Mus musculus: one gene and its partner. The protein of the gene in region 1 purifies or fractionates together with the protein of each later gene. This does not show direct contact. Links are inferred from orthologs where the notes say so. Each region holds a gene or a part of one and is shown in the gene's direction. Other genes may lie near its edges.

The links.
Region 2: the proteins of Fbxw2 (region 1) and Cul1 purify together in Homo sapiens (affinity purification with western blotting; 13 studies listed by BioGRID and IntAct, with this or other methods). This does not show direct contact. The link is inferred for Mus musculus from reciprocal best matches to the Homo sapiens genes FBXW2 and CUL1.

What each region holds. Positions count from the first base shown.
Region 1 is NC_000068.7:34,820,931-34,832,137, reverse strand, and holds the start of Fbxw2 (F-box/WD repeat-containing protein 2), read left to right. Parts: upstream 1-5,902; 5' UTR 5,903-5,966; intron 5,967-6,067; 5' UTR 6,068-6,176; exon of another isoform or gene 6,177-6,367; coding exon of another isoform or gene 6,368-6,458; intron 6,459-8,956; exon of another isoform or gene 8,957-9,070; coding exon of another isoform or gene 9,071-9,090; coding exon 9,091-9,580; intron 9,581-11,207. UniProt on the Homo sapiens protein: Substrate-recognition component of the SCF (SKP1-CUL1-F-box protein)-type E3 ubiquitin ligase complex.
Region 2 is NC_000072.6:47,514,599-47,524,694, forward strand, and holds part of Cul1 (cullin-1), read left to right. Parts: intron 1-196; coding exon 197-304; intron 305-380; coding exon 381-487; intron 488-1,876; coding exon 1,877-1,925; intron 1,926-2,503; coding exon 2,504-2,635; intron 2,636-3,566; coding exon 3,567-3,684; intron 3,685-4,537; coding exon 4,538-4,614; intron 4,615-5,049; coding exon 5,050-5,181; intron 5,182-6,194; coding exon 6,195-6,287; intron 6,288-8,479; coding exon 8,480-8,527; intron 8,528-8,605; coding exon 8,606-8,688; intron 8,689-9,100; coding exon 9,101-9,206; intron 9,207-9,918; coding exon 9,919-10,032; intron 10,033-10,096. UniProt on the Homo sapiens protein: Core component of multiple cullin-RING-based SCF (SKP1-CUL1-F-box protein) E3 ubiquitin-protein ligase complexes, which mediate the ubiquitination of proteins involved in cell cycle progression, signal transduction and transcription.

The sequences.
Region 1 (11,207 bases):
AAATTCTTTATTCAACATATTCGAGCTCACTCTACCTTGCCAGGCCCTATGGCAGAAAGAAATGCCTTAGTAGACGCTAGCACTCGCATGGAATTTATTTTTCATGCCACCCCACTGGAGTTTGCAAAAGATTTTCATCGATTGTATCATGTTCCTGCTGCCACACTTCAGCAGAAATTTGATATCTCTTGAGCCTCAGCATGAGATGTGGTGTTACAATGCCCACAGTGTGTACAATTTCACCACCCTCCTCATGTTGGTATTAACCCTCGTGGATTGCTTCCTCTAAAACTATGGCAAATGGATGTTACTCATGTCTCAGCATTTGGAAGATTAAAATATGTTCATGTTTCAATTGACACCTGTTCAGGTGTCATTTTTGCCTCCCCCATGTCCGGTGAGAAATCCCACAACGTGGTTGGCCATTGCCTAGAAGCCTGGGCAGCTTGGGGAAGGCCAGATAGTTTAAAAACTGATAATGGCCCCGCATATACATCAAAATCATTCCAAACCTTTTGCAAAATAATGCAGGTTAGTCACTCTACTGGTCTTCCCTACAATCCACAGGGCCAAGGCATTGTGGAAAGAGCACATCGAACCTTAAAAGAACTCTTACAAAACCAAAAAGGGGGGCTGGTGAGATGGCTCAGTGGGTAAGAGCACCCGACTACTCTTCCAAAGGTCAGGAGTTCAAATCCCAGCAACCACATGGTGGCTCACAACCACCCGTAATGAGATCTGATGCCCTCTTCTGGTGCGTCTGAAGACAGCTACAGTGTACTTACATATAATAAATAAATAAATCTTTAAAAAAAAAAAAAAAAAAAAAAAAACCAAAAAGGGGTGTGTTGATCCTGTGTTTTTCCACAGGATCAAGAACACCCGATTTGGGTACCAGAGAGGCTGACTTGAAAATTGCTCCCTCCTACAGAGATATAGATTGTAATAGTTCTGGAAGGACATATTTTTTAGCAGAGTGTTGGCAGGGTATACTGCTGTGGTTGTGAAACTTCCCACCTTTGTGCCTATAGTAGATTTTGAAATGTTTGCCACCTATGCCCATTGGTGCTACTCACTGAGTGGTTCAATTTGAACCTCTTTTCCTCAAATCTTTGCTTCTGTTTGAGAATGAGTTCATTCACCAAGAAATTAGGATAGAGATGGTCAATACTGTCCACAACATAATTACACTTGGGGCATCTATTATTACATCCAAACTCTGATGAATATACTTGTAGCAAAAACTGTGGCCACATTTTGTCATGTATGCCTCCTCAGTCATATCAAAGCAGATGGGACTCTCTCTTATTTAATAGACTTAATTCAAGAACAGGTTGAAGAATTGTATAAAGTTGTACAAGCTAATTTCTCTCAGTCTCTTGAACAGAGTCGCCTCTTATTTGAGTAGGAAATTGGTTGGCTAAAGCAGAGTTCTCCAGAAAGCTGCTCCTCCAGATTGCCAAACTCAACAGCACTCGACTGGACCCTGTCACCTTGGGGGACTTCACCTCCTGGATCACCAATGCCTTCTCATTTTTTAAGGAATGGGCGGGAATGTTGGCCTGGGGGGCAGTGGTCCTCCTGGGTTGTGTCTTTTGTATCTGGCTATTGTGTCGACTCAAACGAGAGCACGCTCAGTATTAGGCAGTGGTGTACCAAGCATTGATGGCATAAAGATGGCACATCTCCCAATGTTTGGCTGGCCTCTTTAAAAAATTAAGAGTTCGCCCTAGGTCGTCTGGCAGTTGTAGTCACACAGATCCACAGTATCCAGTGACAGGCAACTTTCCTTATGCACAGACCAACCTAAGACATGGGGCCTGGAGGCGATAGGGTAACCCTTGGACGGGTAAGGCCGTGACATGAAAGGATCGACCTAAGACAGGAGACGTGGCCGATGAACAGACTTGCCCAGACCTAGTCCAGCATCATATTATTAAACAAAAAAGGGGGAGATGTAGGCAGCTGGCGCCTAAAAGATGGCGCCGGTCTCTGGTACACCGGTCTCTGGTACACCATCACCGTAAACAACAGCACTACGCAGGCGCTAGCCCGAATCTGACGCCAACCCCTCCCGAACGGGTGCATGCAAATTAAGGTGCCAGCAGACTGACCAATCCCAGGAGGACACAAAGCTTTTCCCTGTGCTGGGGTGTATATAAGGAGTCCTCCCTGGGTTCCCGTAGCATCGAGGCGTTCCTGGAATAAAGCTGTTGAGAAGAATCTGACCGTTTTGTGTTTTCCTTGCCGGACGAGGTGGGCACAACATCCACTCATCTCCAATCCCTTTGTATCTGCCCTGTACTCTTGCAACCTCCCTCCCCCACAAAAGAAAATAACAAAATGAAAAATCTGGTCATGGAAGTTGTAGTGTGTCCCAAAGTATACCCTTCTGTCCACACATCTTTACTTGCAAATGTTCATTGCAATGAGTCATTGGTCTGGTTTCTGCTACTCACTATCAATACCGGATCCTTACTGAGACTCCTTTTGTAGCCCTATCCCATGTCAAAGAGGTCCTGCAGCTTCATGGACTCCAGCAGTTTAGAGAAGCGGTAGATCCTGGGGTGGGACAACCCTGGCTCTGGGCCTGGGTGGTAGCTGAGTTGGTGAAGCTGTCTGTTCTCTAGCACTCACATCATAACAGTGAGCTCTTCAGTACTGGCCCTGTTATCTCACCCAACCTCTCAGCTGTGGAAAACCTTTGGGGGACCGCTTAGCAGGAATCTGACATTCACCAAGGACAAGGAAATGGGCTTCAGGCAGGAATCTGACGTCGTTAGGACGTGACAAGGAAGTAAGCTCAGGCAGGAATCTGCACATATTTGTACTTCTTAGTGGCTCCTGTGGTGGGTGAACCGTTGTGCCTCTCAGATCTGGTTCTTAATACTGAAAGTCCTGCTGCTTTGTGTCCAATCCTGAAGACAGTATGATGAGAGTGTGATTGGGACAGAGGAGGAGGGCACAGTCTCCCTGGGTCACTGAGCAGGTGTTGAGCATCCTTAAAGCACTGAGATGGTTCAGGAGGTAAAAGGGGAAGAACTAACTCTTGTAAATTGTCCTCTGACCTCCACACATGCATCATGGTATGTACACACAAACACACACTTTTTATTATGTGTCTAGGTGTTTTTTTCTTGCATGCATATCTATGTATTACTTGCATTCCTGGTACCCAGACCAGAAAAGGGTGTCAGATCCCCTGGGACTGGAGTTACAGACACTGTGAGCTACCATGTGGGTGCTGGGAATTTAACTTGGGTCCTTTGAAAAAGTATCCAGTACCCTTAACTGCTGAGCTTTCTCTCTAGCCCTTAAAGTTTAATTTAAAGAAAAGCACTGTCAGACTAGTAAAAATCATTATTAGTGCTAATGATAAGTTATTTAAATCCTTACTGAAAGCTACCTGTCTAATATTCACTTCATATGAATAAGAAGCTGGGGGAATGTGACAATTTTGACTCCCTAATTAACAACTGTTGGGTTCTGCCTTGCACCCTCAATGCCTTAAGCAAAGAAACTATTAGTCAAATAGCTAGTCGATACTACCCTTACGCCAGCGCCTTGAACACTCCGAGGATGCCTTGAAAAGAATGCACAATTGCAGATGATTGCCCCAGATCCAGAAGGTACAACCCATCAGGGTTCTAAGACACAGCTTGTACCAGATTCCTGGCTATCCCAAGCATTAGTGAAATTAGATGACCTTGAAATTAGATGACCTTGAAACTATTAGTGAAATTAGATGACAGGTGGGGCACTTCTTGAGCCTCAAAGCTTCTCTGACTGCTATGACTGGTTCAAAGGAGAAAGGCTGAGATTGGCCCAAACATAAACTTTCATAATTGTGACTGATTCAGTCCCTTCTCTGGCTGTGTAATCAAGAGTGTTGCAATCAAGTCACTCAGATGACTGGGATTGGCTGGGAGACAGTGTCCTACACCTCTCCCCCTCCTGTTGCAACATTAAGCCTAGTAAAAAGCCTGTCTCACCAGTGATCCCACCAACTCTCAGTACCGTGAACTGGTTACACAGACAGCAGAGAAAGGCTTACTGATGGCAGATGGGAAACTCATGGTGGCAGCAAGAGAATCAGTCAGCATGGAAAACTTAGAAAGTGACAGCTGGAGCAGCAGCAGAGAGGCTTCAGAGTGGTCAGGAATGGAGGAAGGACAGAAGAAATAGAAAGCAAGAGAGGGCTGAAGAAGAAAAGTTTGTAACAACTGAGAAGGGAGACTGTGGGTCCTGCTCACCTCCCCAACCCGGAAAGGAGACCTTGAGCTCTTGATTATGCTACCTCTGCCTCTAAAGTGCTGGGAGTATGCACCCGGGCCACTATCTCTAGCTTGGTTGTCAAGTCTTTAAAGCCAAGATTCTCAGGGATTGTGGGCCAAGAGTTGCAACACTAGCAGGCGTTAAGGGCTAAGGAATTAGATCTACAGATCTAAGAGATCTAATTAGATCTAAGAGACCAGACACCCAAGGCTTGTATAAGAACTGTTAACTCCTTCTCCCTTTCCTCCTAGCATTTGCCCTTCTCGCCTTGTTGCTCTGGCGGCTGCTGTAAAACAAGGGAAAACAGGGCAGGTGAGATGGCTCAGTGGGTGAGAGCACTGACTGCTCTTCTGAAGGTCTTGAGTTCAAATCCCAGCAACCACACGGTAGCTCACAACCGCCTGTAATGAGACCTGACGCCCTCTTCTGGTGCGTCTGAAGACAGCTACAGTGTACTTATTTATAATAACAAATCTTTGGGACTGAGCGAGCGCCGGTCTCACATAGGGAGCGGGGTTGACCGGAGTGAGCAGAGGTCCTAAATTCAATTCCCATCATCCACATGAAGGCTCACAACTACAGCGTACTCATACGCATAAAATAAATAACTCTTAAAAAAAACCCTAGCCGGGCGTGGTGGCGCACGCCTTTAATCCCAGCACTCGGGAGGCAGAGGCAGGGGGATTTCTGAGTTCGAGGCCAACCTGGTCTACAAAGTGAGCTCCAGGACAGCCAGGGCTACACAGAGAAACCCTGTCTCGAAAACCCAAAAAAAAAAAAAAAAAAAAAAAAAAAACCCAAGGGAAACAAAAGCTTTAAATAGGAAAAACAAAAACAAACAAACCAAAAACTGGGCAATGATGGCGCACACCATTCATTAGTCCCAAGCTATTGGGAGAGGCAGGCAGATCTTTGAGTTCAAGACCAGCTTGGTCTACAGAGCGAGGTCCCGGTCAGCCAGAGTTACAGAAAAACCTTGTCCCATCAAACAGACAGGCAAAGCTTTCACACAGCAGCATTTATAGAGCTTCTTGCTTACCACTTCTATCTGGGGGGACTAAAGGCTTCACGCTAGTTAGCTGATATGTAACAAGCGCTTCGGAGAACAGCTGTCTCCGTGGCTAAGTGGCCACGTTTGGACAGCGTGCATGTATGTCCTGGGATTCGAGCTTAACCCAGCCCCTACCCAACTCCCTTACCATGTTTTGTCCTTGCTTCCTGCAGTATACTTTGTTATTTGTCCTGTCTTCCTCCTACGACTAGACATAGACCTCGCGCAGTTAGGGATTTGTTCAGCTGTGTCAGAATCGTGTTTGGGAGGTGCCAGGTGTCAATGGGCTGTTTGAATATCGTCACATGTGGATTTGGAGCCTTAGCCCTTTCTCTCCTGTGAAATATTACCCTAACTTGGTTAAAAAAAAAAAGTAGATGAGGAAAATAAACATTGTGCAAATCTAGAGGTCCACCTTGCTCAGGATCATAAGGTGTAAGCGCAGACGGTGGTACAGCACATGTTCGGCCCTTTTCCACAGTCGGGGCCATTCTTTCCCAGGTACTTGGAGGGCAGAGACGGAAGTAGAGCCGCTTCCGCCCGACGCTGGGCGCCGGAATGGCGCGCGGAGATGACGCAGCAGCACCGGAAGCCGCTCCCCTGTGAGGCTGCGGACCCAGAGCAGCGGCCGTAGGTCCAGGTCTGTATTTGCGATTGGCCGGGCCGGGCTGGACAGGAATCCCCAGCGCCCGCGGCGTTACTGACCCGCCGCCCCGGCCTGTTTTCTCCCTTTCCCCGCAGGCGCCATGGCTGTGGAGCGGACCCGGCCGCTGCGACGCTCTGGCGGCCCGAGCGCGCCTAGTCGGTGTGAGCCCGGCGCGAGGTCCCGGGCCCCGGGGCGCTCGCTCAGGTCAGTGCCGCGCGGAACACGGCTCCAGGAGCAGGGGACCAAGGGAGTCACGAACGGGCTGAGAGACTCGGAGTTAATTTTAGACAGGAAAATTAGAGCTAAGAGTTCCTGCCTTCTGGTGCTTCGGTTTTTCCTAGCCGCGAAACGAGTTAACATTGATGCCCCAAGGCTAGCACTTTAATTAATTAAAGATGATGAAATGTGGACAGGTGGTTTATAAAATGCAGAACGTAGTAGTATGTGTAGGAAGGCACCATGCTTGTGTGTATGCCTTGAAAACAGGTGTGTATTTGAGATGATGCTTCTTTTTAAAAGGGGAGAAATGACAGTATTAGTACTACATTATAACAGTAACTGGCATTTATTGTAGGCTTATAGTGTGCCAGATACTGTACAGAACGCTGTTTAACCCTAACAATCTTGTAGGTAAAACAGTACCAGGCGACAGTTTACAAGTGAGGAAATTTGGCTTGAAACACAAGAAATGATTTGCCCATGGTTACCCAACAAGTGAAATTTCAGAGCCCGTGTTTTATAAACATTATTTGTATTCTTTCAAAGGTTTAAAAGATTAGTCTCTAAATTAATGGCTTTTAGGCCAAGGGTGGTTGTGGACTCCAGCAGTCCCAGCACTCCAGTCTTGTGAATTGTGAGACCAGTCTGGGCTTCACTGCAAAAGCCTGTCTCAAAAAACAAAATAAAACAAAAAGCAAAACAAAAAGGAACAGTAAAAACAATTTTCTAAATATCACAAGCAAAAGGAGGAAAAGATCTTTACAATAGTGTAGTCACATGGTTTTAAATACAAAAAGATGTTTTGTTAAAAGGGACTTCATCCCTTTTCTTTCCAGTTCTCTCTTGAAGCAATATTTAATCAGCTTCCTCAATATTCACAGAATACTTTTCTGTACACATAATCCTCTGTGTAGACCAGACTGGCCTCAAACTCACAGAGCCTGCTTCTGCCTCCGAGGGCTGGGATTAAAGGCATGTATCACCACGCCTGGCCTACCTTTTAACTGGTTGTGAAAGGGGAGGCAAGGAGACAACCTTCCCAACAACAATGAGTATTTATTTTTTGTTCTTTAAAAAAATGATTTTTAGTGTGTCTATATGTCTGTGTCTATGTAGGATGTTGGAGGGAGCATGTATATGCCAGTGTGTGCGTGCGTGGTTTTGCATACAGCTTTATGGAGTCAGTTTTCTCCCCCCAAATTTACGTGGGTTTTGGGTATCCAACCCAGGTCATCAGGCTTTTCAGTAAGCACTTCATCTCACAGGCCTGAAGCCTTGATTCCTTACCTGCATAGGTTATGCAGACTAGAAGGAGGGAAAACATTGAGTTTACACCCATAATGCCTTGCCTGTAGAAGATGCAGGTGGAGATTGGGTACTACTGAGCTGCTGCTCCTGTGTAACTCTGGTTGAGCCACCCTGCCTCTTGGGCCCTAGCCTCTTTGTTGGTAAGGGCAGTAGTATTGACTTCTTCTATGAACCATGTTAGAATCAAGCGTGATATTTTTAGGCGCTGCTTCAGTTATTAGGACCAACATAAATATAATTGCTTAGAAGCAGAAACCAAATTCATGCTCTCATCTCCCAATTTAGGAATGTTTATCATACTACACATTTCCTCAGAGCTTTGTGATTGTTTCTGTTGAGGACTGCAGAACAAGTTAAGTGTTTACATTGAGAAGGGTGAGAGGCACAAGATAGCAAGGGGGGTGTGCAGAAAGAAAAGAGCTAAGGAAGCAGTTAGCGGCTTAGATGTGCCGTATCACTGCAGCTTTTCTGATTCGCACACTGCTAAGTTAGAATAGCTTCTGTTTTACAAATGGAAGCTTAGACTTTAGTTGAGCATTCCATGATCACATATTTCCCAGGTTGATCTCTAACTTAGTTATCTTGTAAGGGCAGCCTCTAAGAAGCTAAGATTGTATGTTTCACTGTGCCAGCATCATGGAGATTGTTAATTTGCTTTATCTTACAGGCTACAAGGACCCTCATGGCTCTGTAGGGAACACAGTTAAGAGCTGTCACTAGCTTATGTGAGGCTTATAAAAGCAAACTGTAGCCTTTAGCAATCCATGTTCTAACAGACAGTACTGTAAAGGAATGGAATACCAGAATACCCAAGGCACACAGCTTAGCACACATTTGTTTTTTCTTTCCTCACATCTTTTTGCTTCAACATTTATTGTAGAACCAAATTTTGTGATCTGGGTGGCAGGTCAGGTTGCACCTAGTAGCATAACTGATACAGAGGTCACAGCTCCAGAGATTTGTATATGTTATATGTTGGTGCCATTCTTGTAACTTCCCAAATAGAGTGCATTTAGGAAGTAAATTACTAAGGAGGTAGTTTTGTAATGGTTTGAGTGGAAGGTTGTATGTAGACTAGAATACTCTTTATGAATGAATGTTCTATAAATCTTTTTGGTGACAGTGCATGTGGCATGTGTTAGACTTAAAAAGGAGCAAGTCACACACTAACATGTTCCTCTGACTTGTTTACTATATCATGATTTTTAAAAATATGTTTTCTGCTGGGGAGTGGTGGTTCACACCTTTAATCCCAGCACTTGGGAGGCAGAGGCAGATGGATTTCTGAGTTTGAGGCCAGCCTGGTTTACAGAGTGAGTTCAAGGACAGCCAGGGCTACACAGAGAAACTCTGTCTTGAAACCCCCCCCAAAAAAAAACCCAAAAAAACTGTTTTCTTAGATGTATTTTCTTTTGTGTACATGGGAACTTTCAGATATAGCATATTAACTGTAAAGTAAGCATAAATTTGTAATGCCAATTTTACACTAATTTTTAATACTACATTTATTATCAGTCTTGCTTGAAAAATCTTTTTGAACAGAACTAATATAATATTTTGATGTGCCACAGGTAAATATTTCCATAACCTTATGGAGAGAAAGGACTTTGAGACATGGCTTGATAACATTTCTGTTACATTTCTTTCTCTGACGGACTTGCAGAAAAATGAAACTCTGGACCACCTGATTAGTCTGAGTGGGGCAGTCCAGCTCAGGCATCTCTCCAATAACCTGGAGACTCTCCTCAAGCGGGACTTCCTCAAACTCCTTCCCCTGGAGCTCAGTTTTTATTTGTTAAAATGGCTCGATCCTCAGACTTTACTCACATGCTGCCTGGTCTCTAAGCAGTGGAATAAGGTGATAAGTGCCTGTACAGAGGTGTGGCAGACTGCATGTAAAAATTTGGGCTGGCAGATAGATGATTCTGTTCAGGACTCATTGCACTGGAAGAAGGTTTATTTGAAGGCTATTTTGAGGATGAAGCAACTGGAGGACCATGAAGCCTTTGAGACCTCTTCGTTAATTGGACATAGTGCCAGAGTGTATGCACTTTACTACAAAGATGGACTTCTCTGTACAGGTAAGGAGCCTGGGGGAGTTATGGGGGAGGGGAAGCAGTGCTCTTTCTTTAATAACTTACAAGGGTTAATCCCTTTAAGCTCCTCCCTCTTGAGAAGAGCAAGTGTTGACTACATGGATATTGGGAGTGGCATTTCCTCTGATTAGATGTCCCCATTCCCCTCATGCTCTTCCCCTGGAGAAGAGTCATTTCTATAAAGATTTATGAGAAAAGTTTTAGACATTCTCTCTAGTATAATGTGAATCAGAAAAGTGTAGGCTACTTCTTATTTTCGTTTCTTTAAAACATTTTACACTGGGTGTGGTAGCACATAACCTTTAATCTCAGCACTCAGGAGGAGACAAAGGCAGGCAGATCTTTAAGGTCAAGGCTAGCCTGGTCTACAGAGTAAGTTCCAGGACAGCAAGTGATACACAGAGAAAACCAAAACAAAAATACAAGAAAAAAAAAAACATTTTAGGTCTAGCAAGAACATTTTAGATGAATTGTTTAACCTGTCTGTGTTTGTTTCCTTGCCTTGAAAATAATGGGAAGGGACAAATTCTTTCCTTGCTCAAAAATCCCATGACCCTAAGAATTCGATGTTCAGGGGCTGGCGAGATGGCTCAGTGGTTAAGAGCGCCGACTGCTCTTCCAAAGGTCCCGAGTTCAAATCCCAGCAACCACATGGTGGCTCACAACCATCTGTAACGAAATCTGACTCCCTCTTCTGAAGTCAGCTACAGTGTACTTACATATAATAAAGAAATAAATCTTTAAAAAAAAAAAAAAAGAAAAGAAAAGAAAACATTGACACAACAGTCAAAGAAAATTAAAAAAAAAAAAAAAAAAGAATTCGATGTTCAAAGTTTGGACATGGCAACAAAGACCACTGGATGGTTTTGGGTTTTTGTTTTGTTTTGGTTTTTATGGTTTTTTTTTTTTTTTTAATCTTTTATCGATTGTTTCACATCACTGTGTCCCACTCATCTCCATTCCTTTGAATCCAACCTCTGCTCTTGCTACCTCTCCACAAAAGACAATCTCTCACACACAAAGCATACACATCTCATCATGGAAGCTGTAGGGTGTTATAGTGTATTCTACCATATATCCCTCTGTCCACCCATCTTCACTTGCAAATGTTCATTGCAATGAGTCTTTGGTCTTTGAGGTCTCTGGCTTCTGTTGTGACGGGACTCCTCTTGCAATCCTGTTGTTGCCCCGTATCATGACAATCCTGTAGCTTTAGATCAGCAAGACCAGCCCTTTCAGGTTTTCCAACAGTTGACAGATGATGTAGATTTTGGGGTGGGTCAACTCAAAGCCTTGGATCTGGGCCTGGGTGGTTGCTGGGCTGGTAAGCTTGCCAGCTCTCCCACACCTGCACCACTAGGATGAGCTCTCCAGCACTGCTCCAGATAGGCCACTTATGGTGACAGGAGGCAGGCCAACTCTCCTGCTCTCATACCCTCAGGGCTGGCTTACTTGCATCCAAGTCTCCAGAGCCAGCACCTCTGTGCTGCTCTGTTGAAGCACAGGGCCCAGTCTCCCCAGTGCTAACAGCTGGATGTTTTTTACACTAGGCATTAAGTGTGACGTGCTGTTCTGTACGGTCCAAAGAGTGAGCTACCATAGCAGTGCTTTC
Region 2 (10,096 bases), on another chromosome or scaffold:
GGAATTTAATTTTTAATTTGAAGAATTATTTTGTTTTACATGGAAACATAATGTCCTGTGTGTTTTAGTGATGGAACCAAAAGTATTTCTGATCATATTAACTTCTTTGAAGATGTAGTTAAAACTTGTAGAACGTTTTACAGCAGCATGAAATGTGTGTTTTTAATTGTTTGTTTTGGCTTTCCCTCTACCTAAGGACCCCAAGATGTATGTGCAGACAGTGCTGGATGTTCATAAAAAATACAATGCCCTGGTGATGTCAGCATTCAACAACGATGCTGGCTTCGTAGCTGCTCTTGATAAGGTAAGTATGTCACTGAGATGCCTATTGAGTATGTAGGTACAGGACACCTTTAACTAACTGTCTTTTATATACACAGGCTTGTGGTCGCTTCATAAACAACAATGCGGTTACCAAAATGGCCCAGTCATCCAGTAAATCCCCTGAGCTGCTTGCTCGGTACTGTGACTCCTTGCTGAAGAAAAGGTACTGACCTGGTATTATATTTTCCTAGGACCCTATTTAAACTTGAGTTTAATACAAGGGGTCAGTAGTTGCATTACATTTACTTGTATTGCACTACATTGTTGAAACCTGCATCAACTCCCACTGGCTTTCTGAACAGTCGGAGAAAACTGAATACTACAATATGGATTATGTGTTGGTCTACATTTGACAGAGCTGTTGTGTAGCTCAGGCTAGCCTCAAAACTCCCAGCAGTCCTCCTACCCACAGCTTTCCACATACTGGGTATATAGAGCACACCACCAAATTCAGCCATGTGACTATTTTAAAGTTTTGTTCTTATTTGGTCATTTGTTGGTGCTACATACACTTCATTTTCAAGTCACCATCTACTCACCTGACATTTTCCTAATCTTCTTAGCTGTATTCAGAGCTAGAAGCAAGCTGTATAATTAGGCTTGGCTGCCTCCTCTTCGTTATGTTCCCTTAGCTTCTCTCCCCGTCACAGTTTCATTCCTGCAATGTTCAAGGTTTGCCTCTGTCCCACAAACCACATCACCAAATGCTATGAAGGGGGCATAGGTCCCCAAATTTTACTGATTCTGATGTCAATATATTTTATAAAGCTCTCTAAGGCTAAGAAAATACCCACAATGTAAACAATGACAGTTTAACTCTCAGAGCCTGAGCAATGGATCAGCTGTTAAAGACACTTGCTGTTCCTGTAGAGGACCTGGGTTTACTTCCTAGTATCCAATTGGGCAGCTCACAAACATCTGTAATTCCAGTTCCAGGGAATCTGATGCCTTCTATTGGCCTGCATAGGTTCCTGTGTGTATATGTGGTGCTCATACAGACAAGCAGGCATACACACATACACATAAACCCTTTTTATTTTTTAAGTTAACAAGTCATCATCAGTGAGCTGGAAAATAATTGTACAAAAGGTAGGCCATGCAGCATCTTCAGACTGTGGGCGTAGATCAGTAGCAAAACCGAAACAGCTCACTATTGGGAGAATTGTGTTACCTGCTTTGTACGTGGTGGGGAAACATTGGGTAAGGTCACTTGCTATCTCAGATTGTAGGGAGCAATTGTAAGAATGCAGCTCACTTACTGATATTTAAATGGGTTGTCTTGAAGGGAAACTTCATAATATTATAATTAACTTCTGTCAGTTTTCATCTTAGATATCCTAGTGGCTATTTTGTAATCTCTTCCATGATGGGGTACAATGTGAGGCTGCCAGATTGCCTTAGGAGAGGAAAGTGACCTCCCCTAGCTCACCAGCTGATCTGAGAACTCATTATTAAATACTTGAAGCCACGTGGGATACTGCTAGTTTGGCAGAGTGGTATGTGTGCATGTCTGCTTGCTTGTTTGTAAACACCTTGCCCTTTTAAATTTCAGTTCCAAGAACCCAGAAGAGGCAGAACTAGAAGACACCCTCAATCAAGTGGTAAGGTGTTTCATGGCCACACCCATTGCCCTTTGTAAGGCTCTTTTTATATTGGGCCTGAAATATGCAAAGTCATAAGTATTTTGATTTCGAATTTATGGTTTTACTCCTAAATTTTACTTTTAATGTTGGTACTTCGCTTCTTTTTTGTTTTAAATTTTCAAAGATTATTTTATTGTATGCATATGAGTGTTTTGCCTGTGTACATGTATGTATATGTACTACATGTGTGCTTGTGCCTGAGGAAGTCAGAAGGGTGTTCTATCTCCTGGAACTAGAGATGGTTGTGAGCCACCATGTGCTAGGAATGGAACTCAGGTCCTCTGCAAGAACAGCAAGTACCCTAATCCTCTGAGCCATTTCTCCAGCCTTAGTACTTTGCTTCTTGCTACTAAGTCTAGTCCAGTCAACTGGGATTTAAGGAATGGATGGCGCTATTTATTGTGAACATTTCAGGGTGAGTTTGTGCCAGGTTAGAACATAGGCCCACCCAAAACCAAGCAGCTCCTGGAGGTAGCTAGAGACAAATGGGCTTGTGAGTTAGTTTCACTAAGGTGTTCTTTCCCTGGCTTTGCCAGATGGTGGTCTTCAAGTACATCGAGGACAAAGATGTATTTCAGAAGTTCTATGCAAAGATGCTTGCCAAGAGACTGGTACATCAAAACAGTGCGAGTGACGATGCTGAAGCAAGCATGATCTCCAAGTTAAAGGTACTATTCTTTTCCTGGAGAATCCCAATTTCCTCAGGGTTTATTGACTTGGTTCGTGCAGTGTGAGACCTGCTTTCCAGCCAGGCCTCCGGTGCTTTCCTTCCTCTGCCACCCTGTTTAGGGTTCTTCTGTTCCATGTAGCCCTTCCTTGGCCAGGCTCTGCTCACCTTTGCCACATCCTCACCTGCTTCCCACACATCCAGCCTTGTTGGCTCTGTGTGAATGCTTAGTGGTTTTCTTAGCTCAGACTGCCAAAACAAAATACCATGGGCCAGGAAACTTAGGCAAAGAAATGAACTCTCCATTCTGGGGACTCAGAAGTCTTAAAAATCTAGATCTTGTTTTTGAAGCAGGCTCTCCTGGCTCTCAGTCAACCACTGTTTGGCCCATTACTCACAGGGTAACATCCTCTTAAAGAGGCACCCTACACTCATGAACGCACAAGGACTCATCTTCAGATACCTCCACACCAGAGGTTTAAACTTCAGCAGGCACATTCTAAAAAAAGACAGTTTAGTGGTAGAATAAGGGACTAGCAGATTATTTGGGCTATTGGAAGGGTTTGGCTTGAGGGTCATTGACAGCCCAGGCTAGCCTCTTCCTGCTGAGTACGGTGCTTTCAGATGTGCAACATTCCACCTGTTTCTAAATTATTTCCTATCGTAATCTCTTTAAATTGCAGCTTTAAATGCTGCAATATGTTTACTGCATATTGAAGACCCAATTGTCCAACTTTTAATGGTCTTTTAGAACATAAAACTTTAATCTGTATATATTTATGCCATAAGATATGACTAAATCTTAGTAATAGCTTCAAAGAACTTAAGAAAAAATATATTGTATTGTGATTTCTCTAAAAATCCCTTATATGCATTGCATACATTCATGTTTCTATACAAATTAATGAGACAGTTGCCTGGGTTTATTTCAGCAAGCTTGTGGTTTTGAGTACACTTCCAAACTTCAGCGAATGTTTCAAGACATTGGTGTAAGCAAAGATCTGAATGAACAGTTCAAAAAACACCTGACGAATTCAGAACCGCTGGACTGTGAGTACTGAGTGCTCATAGCAGGGCTCTTTGGGCTCTTGGTAGCAGATGAGAGAAGTGACATAATACGGAGTGAGGGTGGTAAATGGGGTCAGAGTTTCCAAGACTTAGAAGCAGGCGTTTCCTTCCAAGTGCTCTCTCCTCCTCCTGACACCCAGATGGGATGGTGGCAGCTTTGCTGAGTGAGACCAGTCAGGTCTGCCTCGCTCTGTGCTGATCCATGGGCTTGTTGTGCCTTTGAACCTGAGTTTGAATACATTTCTTTCTTCTCTCTCTTACTTGTTTTTGAAGAAAGTTGGAGAATTTTATTCTTCCCAAATCAAAATTGCTGTCATCATTAAGCTTGTATTGCTAATGGACATCTACGTTATCTGTGAAAATGAAAGTGTCCTAATTAATAGGTTCCAGAAGTCTCTACTGTCGGTCTTGACAGTAGTACATGGTACACAAGTTGTGGTGGAGGTAGTGCTTTGCTCTTGTGCTTTCCATTTTCTTGTATTTGGGTCTGTTAAATCAATCATTCCTGGTCACCATCCATTGCTTGTGCATGCTGAACTTCATATCCAGAAGGGGAAAAAATAAAATTGATCAAGGCAGATCAGCTTAGAAACTCTATATTGACAGTAAAGTGGAAAACCATTGCCCTGGAGGACAACAGTTGCTAGGTTCTTCAACCTTTGGTTTGAAGTTTTGATCTAGGACATCTCACTGTGTATGTGTAGCCTACTAGACTTGTAATGAATTTTTAAATCTTTTGACTATTTCTTGTGTGTGTGTGTGTGTGTGTGTGTGTGTGTGTGTAACAATAGAATTTTAAAATTTGTAGAGTAATTAAATGTGTTCCTTCCCACAGTGGACTTCAGTATTCAGGTCCTGAGTTCTGGATCGTGGCCCTTTCAGCAGTCTTGCACGTTTGCCTTGCCGTCAGAGGTAAGGATAGTTTTGGTTTTGTTTCTTGGTCTCTTTCAGCTGGCAAGAGGGAAAAGGGCTGCCTGACCTTAGTGTGCTGACCGAAGTGCTGTGTAAGCAGTCAGTGCACTGTTTGTGGGGAATGTGAAATGGGCCTGTGTTAAATAGCGAAAGGCTCTCTGTTGCAGCAAACAGTGTTGACTTATTCCCGACAAGCAGAGTCTCACTGGTTACATGGTAAACTCTTGATGTACCTACTGGGCATGAGGTAGAAACCTGCTTTGGTACTCACTCTGCAGTCTTAAAGTGTTCACGAGACGGTCCCCGGCATTTGTAGTTCACTTCTCTGTAAGCACTGATTTTGTTCTCAGAACTTGGGGCAGGGACTTTTATTTAGAAATGCTGACTGTAGAATGGAAAGCCATGGATGCCGCATAGTGCTGTTCTTTCATCTAGTTGGAGCGCAGTTATCAGCGATTTACAGCTTTCTACGCCAGCCGTCACAGTGGCAGAAAATTGACATGGTTGTATCAACTGTCCAAAGGGGAACTAGTCACTAACTGCTTCAAAAACAGATACACTTTGCAGGTAAAATCTTTTTATTTGGGTAAAATATTTGAGTACTAATTGATGATAAGACAACTTATAGAAACCCAATTAGATAGCTCATGCAGTGGGATGCAGTTCATTCTCTGACAAAGCCATGTAGGGAGTAAAGCATGCTTGTCATGGGCAGGTGAGCTGAACTCATTTTCTCTGACTATAGATGCAAGTCACTTCCTTACTCTGAGCCTCAGGTTTCTCCTCCACTGAGTTAGCAGTGTTTGCTTACACCATAGAAGTGATCTTTGATAGGTTTGGTAGGTTTGCATGACATGCTGGGGTGACAAATTTAAAAGATGACATTTCACTCTCTAGTTCCAGTCAGAGCTCTCTGCAGCCTCACAGTGATAAGACTCCCTAGCACGTCTAGCAGTGTGCAGTGCCTAGTAATAACAGCTATGGGCTGATTGCATTTCTACAAAAGCTGGGGTCCAGTTAACTGTGGTTCAAAGTCTAGGTTCCTTCTACTCTCACTTCTGTACTCAGTGTGTTTCACAAGTAAAACTTACTTCATTCCTTGAAAAGGTCTCAGTAGTGAGCTGGTAATGGTAATTAAACTGTAGAGTATGTGACGAAAACTACTCACTAGTTTAACCTTTGTACTTCCACATTGATAAGTTAATTAAGTAACCATTATACCTGGTGTGGAGGTCTCTGGCAACTTAAACATACACATAATGTATAAATGGTATGCATCCCCAAAATAATTTTTGTTCTACTATGCATAAAAATTAAACTTATAATTAATGTCTCTATACCTGGTGTATGTTTATATTATAGGTATGCTCATATATTTATGCTTATATAGGGTACATTTCAGGAGAAAAATGAGTCTTTTCAGTGTTTGAAAGGTATCTTTAAGAAAAATGTCCATTCCCCTGGTTGTGACATTTTGTATTCCCTCTCCTTTTTTGCCTCTGAAGAATGCTTTTCATGAAAGCAGGTTGTACCTTTCCCATGTTTTCACATTTCCTCTTTCTTTCCTCTGGACCACGAAGGCGTCCACATTTCAGATGGCAATCCTGCTTCAGTATAACACAGAAGACGCCTATACTGTGCAGCAGTTGACTGACAGCACTCAGATTAAAATGGTATTTCCACTGTTTGGTACTCACGCTATACTCTCAAGCTGCCTCTTCTTTGTTCATTGGGATGTTGTGGAAAGGGGGAGAGGACATGGGTTTCTTTGGCTTACTAGATGTTAGCAGCATGGAGAAAAAAGTAAAAGCAGTAAACTCTGACCAAGGCACCAGAAGACCAGGCCAGATAGATCCACAGAGAGCATTTCACTGGGGTGTCTGACACCTTGGATGCCAACAGGACCACTGAGTTCTCATGGTTGAGTCAGAGAAGTTTATATAATGGGCAAGGTTCACTTGAGCCAAAAGTTAACCTGACTAGTCTCAAACTTGTGTGAGGAGCATCCAGCACATTCCTGGTACTGGTGGTACTAAGGTCTAGGGTGTAAAGCTCCATGTGCCACTATCACGACTTTATAACTTTATAGTATTTAAGCAAATTGTTTTGGAGAAAACATGGGTTCTCAGGCAGGCATGGTGGCCAGCACCTGTGATGGTGGTGGCCAGTTCCAGCTGTGTCCTTATAAACCTTTATGCCAGTTTCATAAGGGTGTTAAGAAATGCTCTCTTTTGTCAGCATTATAAGGACAGTGTGAGATGCTCTATTTTTTTTAAGGGTTTCTCTGTGTAGCCCTGGCTATCCAGGAACTCTCTTTGTAATCCATGCTGGCTATGAACTCAGAGAGATCTGCCTGACTCTACCTCCCATGTGCTAGGCTTAATGGTGTGTGCTACCACCACTGTCCCTTGAAATGCTGTTTTAAACCCAGTCAGTCACTGTCTGTCTCTGTCTCTATCTCTGTGTGTGTGTGTGTGTGTGTGTGTGTGTGTGTGTGTGTGTGTGTGTGTGTAGATATATGTACTTGTTTGTATTCACGTGTTGGAGACTAGAAGTAGATGTCACTGTGGTGCACATGTCATTCTTTCTTTGAAGCAGCGTCTGTCAGTGAATCTGGAGCTTATCCATTCAGCTAGGCTGCACAGCAGTAAGACTTGGGGATTCACTCATTTATTCCCCATAGCACTCCAGACAAGGCTGAGCTTTCACGTGAGTGCTGGGAAGCAGATAAAAGATTTTTTAACTTTCCTCATTCACTTTATTTTTTGTTTGGTTGGGATTTTCTGTTGCTGTTGTTGAAATAGTCACCTGTACTCTAGGATGACCTCAGATTCACTGAGTAGGTAGAGAATGCCTTAAACTAACTTACTGTCCTGTCTTTGTACATACATCTGTGTATCTGTGATAGATTACTGGCATGCTCCACACCCGTTTTTATGCAGTGCAGGAGATTGAATCCAGGGCCTTGGGCATGCTAGCCAAGTACTCCACCAGTTAAGAAGTGGTCCCTGCCCCCATTTAATTTTTTAGTTGACATGTGTACTTACTGATGGGTACACTGCTGTACATGCATTTTTTTTTTTTAAATTTCAATGAAACCTACTTTTTTTTTTTTTTTTTTGCTGGCTGGTTGGAAGGGTTGACAGGTCTGCCTCTCTAGTCTCTGCTTGGCCTTCTCCTCGATGCCACACCAATCTTTCTACTTCTTTGTATTACTAGAATTACCTTATGGGTCTTTAGCTGCCCTCCTCCAGACCCCAGTGCATAGCTGTCACTTCTCTGACAGCATGGGAGCCTTGGTTAAGAGTGCAGGTGAGAAAGTTAAGTCCCCATGCCATGAGGCTTGATGGTTCTGGAAATCACCAGAGCAGCTAATAACTACAGAGGTCATATGATGCACTGAATTGCCAACTAAAGCCAAGTTGGCAGCAAGTCAGCTGCCTCCAAGTCTCAGCATGTTCATGAATGCAGTGCAACTTTGGTTCTGCTGAAGCTCCTTACTGCTTCGTTCGCATGTTCAGGGGTGTAGTTTACTGGTAGAACACTTGCCTGGCACACAAAGCCTTGGGTTTGATCCACAGCACCACATAAATGTCTTATGAACCTTCAGACATCGAAGAAGTGAATCATTTCCTGTAGGTTTCATTGAAGAAGCAGGCCATATATTGTGTCCAGTGTTTGTGGGAAACTGCATTATTATTGCCTTTGAATAGTGGGTGCTTCAGGCCATAAAGAACAAGCCATGTCACTTTCTCTGACTAGTTCTGCTTTGAGGTGATGACCATTTCTGTGAGGCTGGGCCTCTGGGACAGGCACTGTAAAGAAGTATTCTTCCTCCTTGCTTACCATCTTTCTCTGATTGCAGGACATTTTGGCACAAGTCCTACAGATTTTACTGAAGTCGAAATTGCTGGTATGTTTGTATACTTTGTGTTGAGCTAGAAGACACCCTTTCCCTAGGATGTGCCTAGTAACAGTTATTTTCTTCTAGGTCTTAGAAGATGAAAATGCCAATGTTGATGAGGTGGAATTGAAGCCAGACACCTTAATAAAGTTATATCTTGGTTATAAAAAGTAAGAAAAATCTAACATGTAGCTGCTGGTCTTATCCCCTGGCACTGGCCTACTTCAGGATCGGCACGAGCCAGGGGAACTGGACTCTGCTTTTAATGCTGAGTTTGATTTTCTTTATCTTGAAAATAAGTCTTGAGTGGCTCATATGGCATGTTTAGACCTTTATATCAAGTTATTTTGGTGTTATTACAATTCACTAAATTGAGGGGTCAAGTGTCACTTCAGTCATCCCTCTGTGGTAAAATTACATAGCATTGGTGGAGGGGCAGTTCGCAGGTAGCAGTAGAAATGATGAGAAATGATATAGAAGAGATGGGTGTGAACCACCTGCCCAGTCCAGGGATGCAAAACGTGTAGTTGAAAGACAGGAAGCAGACTTTTCAATGACCTGTTTCCTCTGTTATCTTGACAGTAAGAAATTGAGGGTTAATATCAATGTACCAATGAAAACTGAACAGAAGCAGGAACAAGAAACTACACACAAAAATATAGAGGAAGACCGCAAACTACTGATTCAGGTGACTGAACCATGTCTGCACTGTACACTTAGGGAAACGTGCTGGCCTTGTATGTGCTCAAACGCTGCCAGAATGACAGTTCGGTGATGGCCAAAGATGACAATGCCTGAAGCCAGCACTTGGTGTCTGAGGGATGAAGTATTTTATGTTCCAAACAAAAGTAGTCTAATCTTCTTGCCTAAGTATTGGGAAGCAGGTAATATGTGGCAGATTAAAGAAACAGGAGATTGGGGGGAAGGGGACCTTCTATTCCTTTAGAGATCCATTTTTTCTTTATTCTTTAGTGCTTTATAGTTGGCCAAAATTAGCCCCTCCAAAATATTTAAGATTTACATTTAGTGTATATGCATGTTTTGTCTATATGTAGTCACATATAGATAGGGTTCATGTATGCTACTGGTGTCCCCAGAGGCCAGGAAAGGATGCTGCATCTCTTTGGTTGTGAGCTACTCCATAGGTCCTGGGAACTGAAACCAGGTCCTCTGGAAGACCTCAGTGCTCTTAAACCACTGCACCATCAATCTAGCCCCTTAGACAAAACATTTTAATGGATAAAGCTGATGGATAGAGCTGATTGCTTGTACCCTCCCTGACCTGTAGGATAGTTGTTACCCTAGCATGGAAGTTGAGTATGAGGTGGTACAGGCTGCCTTGAACTTTCATGCTCAGCTGTTAAACCTCTAAGCATGTGTTTTTCTTGTTGATTGCATAGGCGGCCATCGTGAGAATCATGAAAATGAGGAAGGTCCTGAAACACCAGCAGTTACTTGGTGAAGTCCTCACTCAGCTCTCCTCCAGGTTCAAACCTCGGGTCCCGGTGATCAAGGTACAGGAATTACAGAGCATGGTTAGGAAACTTGTAGCAGAAGGATTAATGGCTGTTTCATGAA